Linked DNA regions of Schizosaccharomyces pombe. The protein of the gene in region 2 binds, or shares a complex with, the protein of the main gene of each other region. Each region holds a gene or a part of one and is shown on either strand. Other genes may lie near its edges.

Region 1 (4,268 bases), on a different chromosome or scaffold from region 2:
GTCCCGGCATCCACTCGATTTACAAAAACAAGAACATCTAGTTGCTCATTCTATATGTCAAACGTGGAACCTATTTGGTATCTTCCAGCCACTAGAAGGTATAGATATGGAAGAACCAAAGTTCCACGACGAAAATTATTCCATCCCTCTCACAGTTTTACCAACCTTTGGGGGTGAATCAAATAGTTTAGATGATCATTTTTACGGAATTTTCCGTGGAGCCGAAAAACTATGGATTAATGATTTATGTGTTATATCCACATCTTCACTGCCATCTGTACTTCAAAAAACAAGTTTTATGTACATATCTGATATTTATGTAAACGAAGATGACATTGTCTGTTTCCAAGGCTCACTATGGACACAAATTGACAAAAATGCACTCGATTATAATGACAGCGCTGACAATATTGATGAACATAAGGATGACTTAAAAGAATTACCAAGAAGATTACAAATGGTATCAAAACTATCAAACACATATTTTCGTTGCCTGCATGATAAATCTGTCGAGTACGTCTGCCCATTCGCAGATGTTTTGGGAAGATGGTATGAGCCTTGGTTCGTAAAAGGAGATTTAAATTACACTTCAGAAGTGAAAGAACGCACATCCAGTCGATTATCAGCAGTAGGCTCTGAAAATTGGGTCGATGACGATTTTTATGAATATTTACTGTCTGAAATTGATATGGTGTCAGCAGTTGTAATGTAATAAGTATGGCAGATAAAATTAGATATAGAAGTGTCTACTTATTGATCAGTGACGGTCATTATTTATAATGTAAATAATATGGGAATAATAATGTCTTTTGCATTTCATAAATTACAGAGAAAGATAGGTAAAAACTATTTGTGTTGAATTAGAGATGGGATATAGTTTTTTTTAAGAAATCATGTTGCACTATCACACCGGTATTAATAAATCATTTCTAAGTTCAGAAGGTCAAATACAACGGTGGAAAAGCACCAACAATGTTGGGCAGCAGATTAACTGCACAGGAAGATTACGTAAACGAAGAAAACAGAAAAGTAATATAAACATACTTCATATGCGTCGCTCCCTTCTACCTCTCGGTCCTCCAAATTTAATAGGTGTTCGATCCATAACCTTTACAATTTTGTCTCGAATTACGGCACCTTCTTGCCCTAATAAACAATTTTGTACTGCTTCCCTGGCCTGACTAAAACCATGAAATATAACATGCAAATTTTCAATACCAAGGCGCTTTACTTGGATTTGTTCCAGCACCTTGGAGCAAATGGTATAAGCAGCATCGTAGCCACGGCGCTTTCCTTTACGAAAACCACAGGTTCCTCCAGAGGCCCTAAAAATAATTTTTCTTTCAGGAGAACAAAGTGTAATGTGAGTGTTGTTCTTCAAACATTTGGCATGAAGGTAAAATGGCATTGGAATGGTATCCGTACCTTGCATAATCGGATTTGGCTCCTCCGTCCTTTTTGAAAAAGCTTTTGGAGTGATTGTGGATTCTAAAAGAGAAGAGAGTTCCTTTTTGGGCGCATTCCGCCTAGGACTCTGGCTCCAAAATCTTCGTAGTCCAACTTTTGTTAAATTAAGCATTAGATATTTGATGAAAAATAGCTTGCTAAGAACCGATTTGTAAACCAAAAATAAAATCAAAGAACTAAAAAATATGGATGAAAATGTAAAGGAAATGAAAAATGACAAATTGTAAGTAACCGAGTGCTTCAATACCATAATTTCTATACCAGGTAACTTATGTTACTCAACCTGTGGTAGTGGTATGAACGTGTAAATATTAACCTAAAACACTCTTCTCGTTTTAAAGAAAAAATAAAGAAATAAAAAATTAAAAATCTTACTTTGGTGGCTGCCTTAAAAGTTTTTCAAACGGATCATTTGGGATACCCAACGACTGTAATTTAAACGAAGATTGGTGAATTGAAAACACAAATATAACCCATCTTTTGAACAGTGAAGATTTTGCAATGATACCAAATGAGAAGCTAAAACTATTAGGTTTATTATCAATTTCTTTTTTTCTTCAATGGTATTTAGCAAACACTTGGATTGCTGAATTCCTTTACAGGCGAATCGAAGTATCGACGCCTGTATCCGGATTTTTACGTGTTCGTGAAGGACTTTACTTGTATGAAAACGGACTAGACCCCTATTCTGGTGGTGTTTTCTATCAGTCTCCACTTCTACTGATCTTAAATTATTGTTGTGAGTTGCTTGGAGGAATATCTGTCACCAGATTTGTTTATACTAGCATTTCTACTATGGGAGGTCTCTTTGTGTATTTAATTGCAAAACAAGCTCGTGTTTTAGACCCAAATCAAGTACTATCTACTTGTTCACCATTATGGATTTCCGTCATGTAAGTTACGCATATGGCTTGCGACAAAAAAAGTGAGACATTCTTCAAAAAAATGAAAAGCATTGTATCGTTGGTTTACAAAATTGTTAACGATGACTGTTCAAAGATTGAACTGCGTTGATTACACAGATTTCGTAGTCGATATTGAAAATGTGTACTTCTGTGATATATTTGTGTCGCAAACAAGTATCCTTAACTCAAAATTTACTAACAAAATATTACTTTAGTTATCTGCTTAACCCATTAACATTTCTTCCAGGAATTGCTTGCTCCGCAGACATGATACTTAATTTCACCACTCTAATGACCATTTATTTCGCCTCTTGCGGATCCTATGCAATTTATGCATGCTGTATGGCATTGACTGTATTCATTAATCCTAACGCTTTACTGTTATTTTTCCCCTCCTATCTTATTTTAAGAAAATGCAATTCATCCATTAAATTTCGTCAGATATTCGTTGTTTTTCTTTTTTATCTTGCAGGTCTGATAATAACTTCAGGCTTCTTTCTGAACTCGTTATCTTTTTTGAAAATTCCATTTAGGGTATACTTGGACTCTCATGATCTAACTCCGAATTTGGGTCTCTGGTGGTATTTTTTTACAGAAATGTTCAATGAATTTCGCACATTCTTCCTTTTTGTATTTGCCATTTTACCATTGATGTTTGTTCTCCCTGTTTCGATCCGTCTTTATTATCTGCCCTTGCCTATTACTATTGCTCTTATTGGCCTGCATTCTTTATTCAAAGCTTACCCAAGTATTTGTGATCTTTCAATATTTTTATCTCTCCTCCCAATTTTTAATAAAGTCCAAGACCGAATGCGATATAGCTTGCTTACAAATAATGCTATTGTGTTTGCGCTTGTACTGGGATCTGCATTTTACCATTCTTGGATAACTCTTGGATGTGGAAATGCAAATTTTTATTACGCAAGTAACCTCATTCTTGCTCTTGGACTCTCTTTAAAAATCATGGACTTTCTCAAGGCACTGCTTTTGGTTGATTGGTATGCCAATCACCCACAGCATGAAAATATTCCATTAAAACAGGTTCAATAAAGTAATCTGTTAATTAGAAAATGATATTCTTAGGCTTCATCTATCCAATTTCATCATTAGAGCCTCACCTTTCTGACCTTACGAAACGACCTTTTCCAATTTAACGTTTAGAAATTATTTATTCATACATACAAATAGGAAATTTATATTTCATATTTTTTTCCTTTTCCGAGACGATTCAAGGACTTTTTTTATTTTTTTTCATATTAGGTATTCATGGCATCCCATGGCACTACTCCCTTTACCACGAAGTACCCATGAAAAGTTTTATGCAAAACTTCATCAGCCATTGATGTTTAGTTCCAAAAGATATTTGAATTCCTTTGGTTGGGAGGAAGGAAACGCTTTAAAAGAAGGAGGGCTCACCAAACCAATTTTAACTTCTAGAAAATATAATACTCATGGGGTATGTCAGAATAAAAAATCTTAGAAAAAGATGGGTTTTTTCAGTAAAGTTATGTATGAATTTATTTTTAACACACGGTAGCTTGGTGCTAAACATGATATTGCTGATCAATGGTGGGATAATGTTTTTTCTGCTCAACTACAGTCAATTCAAGTAAATACGGACAACGGAAAGGTAAAAACAACTTAAATATACAATTTTTCCTATCTCTTTTACACAGTGCTAACATTTGGAAAAGGTTGCAGTCCAAAGCAATGGTGTATCTACAAAATTGAGAATGGCAAAATATCACAGCAAATATTCTGCTCTGTCTTCTGTGTTTCGTTATGCTGGTCGACTTTGTGGTACCTTTGAGGAAGATTTAGTTGATAAGAGTCTTGATTCCTCTGTTTCTCCAGTATCGTCCAAGAAAGTCAAAGTCAGAAAAACTTCTGGCAAAG
Region 2 (4,319 bases):
TAACACTTTTTTTTCTTTGCCTTCATCATCATCATCATCATCATCGTTGTTCTTTGTTTCTTTCAATAAGCATTTTGTCATTTTCTTTTATCATTATTGTCTTTTTTTCATATTTTTGTCGGTTGACTGATTGATTGTAAATAAAGTCTCATAGTTATATAGAGTGTGGTTTGCCTTTTCTTATTGTTTCGCCTTGTCTTGTCTTGTCTCGTCTAGTGTTGCTTGTATTGTCTTACCCTATCTGTTCTTTTTCTTCACTTTTGTTTTAACTGCGAATTTTCTTTCTTACTTTTTTGCTTTTCTTCCTTTCCTATTCCTCCACTATAAAGTTTTCGGCGTTTGATCATCTACGAACACGATCTAAAATTCAATTACTTTCATGTATCCATTTTCTTTCGATCCTTCTTCCAAACTTCCAGTCACAGGTATTTATAACATCCTTCTGTTCAATCTATTCCCTTTAGCTACATACCTTGTCGAAACCTTTTGTTTTTTTCGCCGGTGGAAAATCGCCTGCACTTTGTTATGTTCCATCACGGTTATACTGGCGTATCGCATGTGTGCTGTCTATCACCATGTTGGTTATAAGGATGTCTCTACATTTGGTTTGGCATATGGCTTTCTCATTATGATGTCGCTTCGAACTTGCTTTTTGAGTTGGCGAGATATGGTACCTTCTCGCAACGATCCTGTACAAATCAGCGCTGTTAAGCGTCGTCGACCATTCATTCGTAACGCTAGGTGGAACTTTGTTGATTATGCACTTTCTTTGCGCAAGTATGGTTGGACTGACGACGTGGTTCCCCCTTACTGTAGAAAAGTGCTGACTTACAAATCTTTGGGGATACGTACTGCTGTCTATGTGGGTGCATTTTGTTTTGTCAATTGTTTTAAAACTCGTTTATCCAATTGGATGTTGCTTCCTATATCAGCCAACCCATGGTATATTCAAGTCGCATTTTGCGTAACCTCTGGATTCTTTTCATATTTGTTTATTAATGCCTTGTACTATTTATTCGCCATTATTTTTGTTCCTCTGGGAATTTGGGATATTGCAGAGTATCCATTAATGATGGGAAATGTATCTAAAACCACCTCGGTTAATGATTTTTGGTCCAGAGATTGGCATGTTTGTACCAAGCCCTATTTCAGAGTGATTGCTTGGGATCCAACTATTGCCCTCACTGGAAGTAAGTTTCTGGCAAGTTGTTCATGTTTTTTCCTTTCAGCATTATTCCATGACTTTGCCTATTGGTCAATTTCTGGACGCTGTTCACCTGCTTTCTTTTTTCAGCTTTTAATTCAACCTTTCCTTATTAATCTTGAAAAAAGGATTCCCCTCTTGCGCAAATATCATTATTGGGTCCTAATAATCGAAATGCTTATTAATGGAACATATGGTATGGGAGTCGTATTATTAAAATTTAAGTGGAAAACATGCTCGCAAATTTAATTTACTGTTTAATGTCTATGTTTGACCTTCCGAAACCTCTAAAGTATCAGATAATTGCTATGTGTCCTAGTTTATACATTTAATGGATGGTTCAACTAAATTAACTTTTCCGTAGATATTGTTGGAATGTTAAATAATATATAGAGGGAAACATTACATTTAGCATTCTAATTCTCATTCTTTGCCAACAGTAATTACAAAACTTTATTTATTTATAAGATTTGTTAATAGTATGGGTTTTTTCAATCAGATAAAGTGAACCCATAGTAAGCCACCATGATCACTTGCATACAAAACGTAGCCGGGAGAGGAGGGGAGAGAAGTAGAAAAAGATTGAAAATTGTGCAGGATTCAGTCGGGTTAGCTAAAGGGATTCAATGCGCGTAGCTTGGAATCTATTGTTGACGACCGTCCAATTGATCATATCCCACCATTTTGTAATGTACATTTTTTTACCATTTAAACCATAGTCGTCAAGATACGCATATTGCCAAAGGTTAACGCATAAAAGCGGTACAATTGCATTGGTACGAAACTTAGGAAATCCTGTTCCCCAAAGAAAGGCATTTGACGCATTGTACGTGCATAATAAGGAAAATAAAGATTTTTCTGGACTATATACCAACCACAGCCAACCATCACCAAAAACTGAATTGCCAACGTCAACCATTTGAGACTTCAACTCACCAAATGAACCGAAGGATGCATCAATTCCAGGCTTTAGGTTGATAGCTCCTAAATCTGCATCTGCAGAGGGCCGTTCTGGAGAAATAAGGCCGGAAAAGAAAAAATCATGATTTACCAATTGGCTAGAGTAATTGAATAAATTAGCGCGGGCTGGGTCACTAGCGCTTTGAACCATTAAATCTGAAGGCACACGATACGGAGTTTGATGAATTTTACATTCTTTTTGTACTAGGCCTCGTAAGTGGTTGTCATAAGCAAAGATATTCCTGACCGCATCTTTTGACAAAAAATTCTTGTAGCCCACGTCCAACGCTCTGGCGAAGCGCTGTTGAAAACTCATTTGTTAAATTGAGGTAATAGTTAGGGAATGGGTATAAAAAACTGCAATGGAAATCAAGTATGCGGGTTTAAATTTTGTAATCCTAAGAAATTGGCAAAGACGACCAAACTGTATAATTAATTCATTAAGTATTAACAAAATATGAAAATCAAATAGTGTAGATGCTACGTTTTTGAATGTTTGAAATATTTCAACTTCAATATTGGTAAAGGCGTTCCACTCAGACCGCTCAGAGAGAGGTAAGCAGCCCTACTGGCGCAAGTAAAATATCGGTATGAAAGTTCTGCATTCCTTGTTGCGATATATACCATTATACCACTATATAAATTTTTGAAGTTGAATTAACAGAAATCTAAAACTTCGTTGAAACTTAACTAGTATTACAATGAATTTGTTAACAAGTTTCCCAAAAAAAATTGTGAAAGTAATCTTAAAGCGTTCAACGGGTTTAAACGGTGGATTATAAAAGCCTTTATTCCCAATATGACCATGATTCAATTTAAAAGTAAGCTGTATGACTCATTTTCAATCAAATTTACTTCGTCTTTTATAAGAAGATTCATTGACTTGAGAAGAAGAAAAATAACTTTAATATTCGAATGATCACAACTTTTATGTGAAAGAACTGTAAATATGTTAAACGTTTATAAATGACAATTGTGGCCGTTTGGTCTAGTGGTATGATACCATCTTAGGGTGATGGTGGTCGTGGGTTCGATTCCCACAACAGCCCGATTTTTTTTTTTGTCTCAGTAATTCAAGAGACCCTCAAATTTTTTATGTAACCGTTTAGATTGCAGCCTAATTGTTCAAAAGCTTACTCAAATTTGATCTAAACATTCGTGATTAATCGTTTATGAAACCATACGCTAACGATTAATTAGGAATTGATACAGGTTCATAACACCGTTCATGGATTGGAAACATCTACCATTTATTTTTAGTTTTAGTTAACTAAAATTGTAAGTGCACTGCATTTTTTTCGAAGCTTCATTTCTTTCATCGTTCAAAAAGCTGCTTTGGCAATAAAAAAAAGTTTAAGGTTATTTTTAGCCGAGGCTACTGGGATTGTTTCATATGCTTACAAGCGAAATAGGGAATAACTAGCTGCATACAAATGTTTTTGAAGAATACCTACCATTGGGGCTGAGCTAGAAGAAATATGGGATTTGAGACAAAAAGATTACTACTATATTAAGGAAGAACTGCTGAAACTTAGACGGAATAACCCAAGTATGCATACATGCTGCCAAGCCCGGTCTTGTTGCAATTTCAGGCTCTACACAACAGTAACAAGTGATTTATGGATTACGGATACTTTTTTTAAATTTAATATTATCTGGTTATAGTTAAAATAGAAGATTGTTTCACTATCCACTAGTTTTGGATTACATGCCATTAGTGATCAGGGCTATAAGCGAATAATTTTCAACGTTTCATCTGACCCTGGTACAATTTTTTCAGTAAGTCACATATTTATTTATTTTTATCCAAAATAAGAGCTAGATGCGTATTTTTTACAGGCCATGCCACAGTCTTTTTTAATTGCTAATGTATTAGACTGTGTCAATGGTACGAGACATTACTAACGAGTAAAGGTAATTTCTTCTATAGGATAGATTAAATATACCACCTAGAATTAGCGATGATTTTTACACAAACTCAGCATGTCTGTTTTGTAATTACCAATCCGTTTAATTTATTTGATGTGCGCTCAAAAGATATATAACAATAATCAAGGACAAGAAGCATGAATAATTGATGACATACTAACATACATTTTAAATAAATTTTTGTAATACAACTAACCGTAATACATCGGTTTTAGTAACCATTTTT

Evidence for each region. Proteins that work in one complex are often made in the same cells at the same time.
Region 1: SPOM_SPBC3H7.04 (region 2) and mrps18 share a complex: the UniProt entries of both Schizosaccharomyces pombe proteins name them as parts of the mitochondrial small ribosomal subunit.

What each region holds. Positions count from the first base shown.
Region 1 is NC_003424.3:4,966,178-4,970,445, forward strand, and holds mrps18 (putative mitochondrial ribosomal protein subunit S18), read right to left. Parts: upstream 1,686-4,268; 5' UTR 1,580-1,685; coding exon 1,046-1,579; 3' UTR 813-1,045; downstream 1-812. Other genes in the region: SHREC complex subunit Clr2, read left to right, coding at 1-712; gab1 (Pig-U family GPI transamidase subunit), read left to right, coding at 1,969-2,360, 2,588-3,422; tma23 (ribosome biogenesis protein), read left to right, coding at 3,715-3,828, 3,910-4,002, 4,067-4,268. UniProt on the Schizosaccharomyces pombe protein: Component of the mitochondrial ribosome (mitoribosome), a dedicated translation machinery responsible for the synthesis of mitochondrial genome-encoded proteins, including at least some of the essential transmembrane subunits of the mitochondrial respiratory chain.
Region 2 is NC_003423.3:1,874,080-1,878,398, forward strand, and holds SPOM_SPBC3H7.04 (mitochondrial 37S ribosomal protein mS42), read right to left. Parts: upstream 2,703-4,319; 5' UTR 2,481-2,702; coding exon 1,818-2,480; 3' UTR 1,575-1,817; downstream 1-1,574. Other genes in the region: SPOM_SPBC3H7.05C (uncharacterized protein), read left to right, coding at 380-1,453. UniProt on the Schizosaccharomyces pombe protein: Component of the mitochondrial ribosome (mitoribosome), a dedicated translation machinery responsible for the synthesis of mitochondrial genome-encoded proteins, including at least some of the essential transmembrane subunits of the mitochondrial respiratory chain.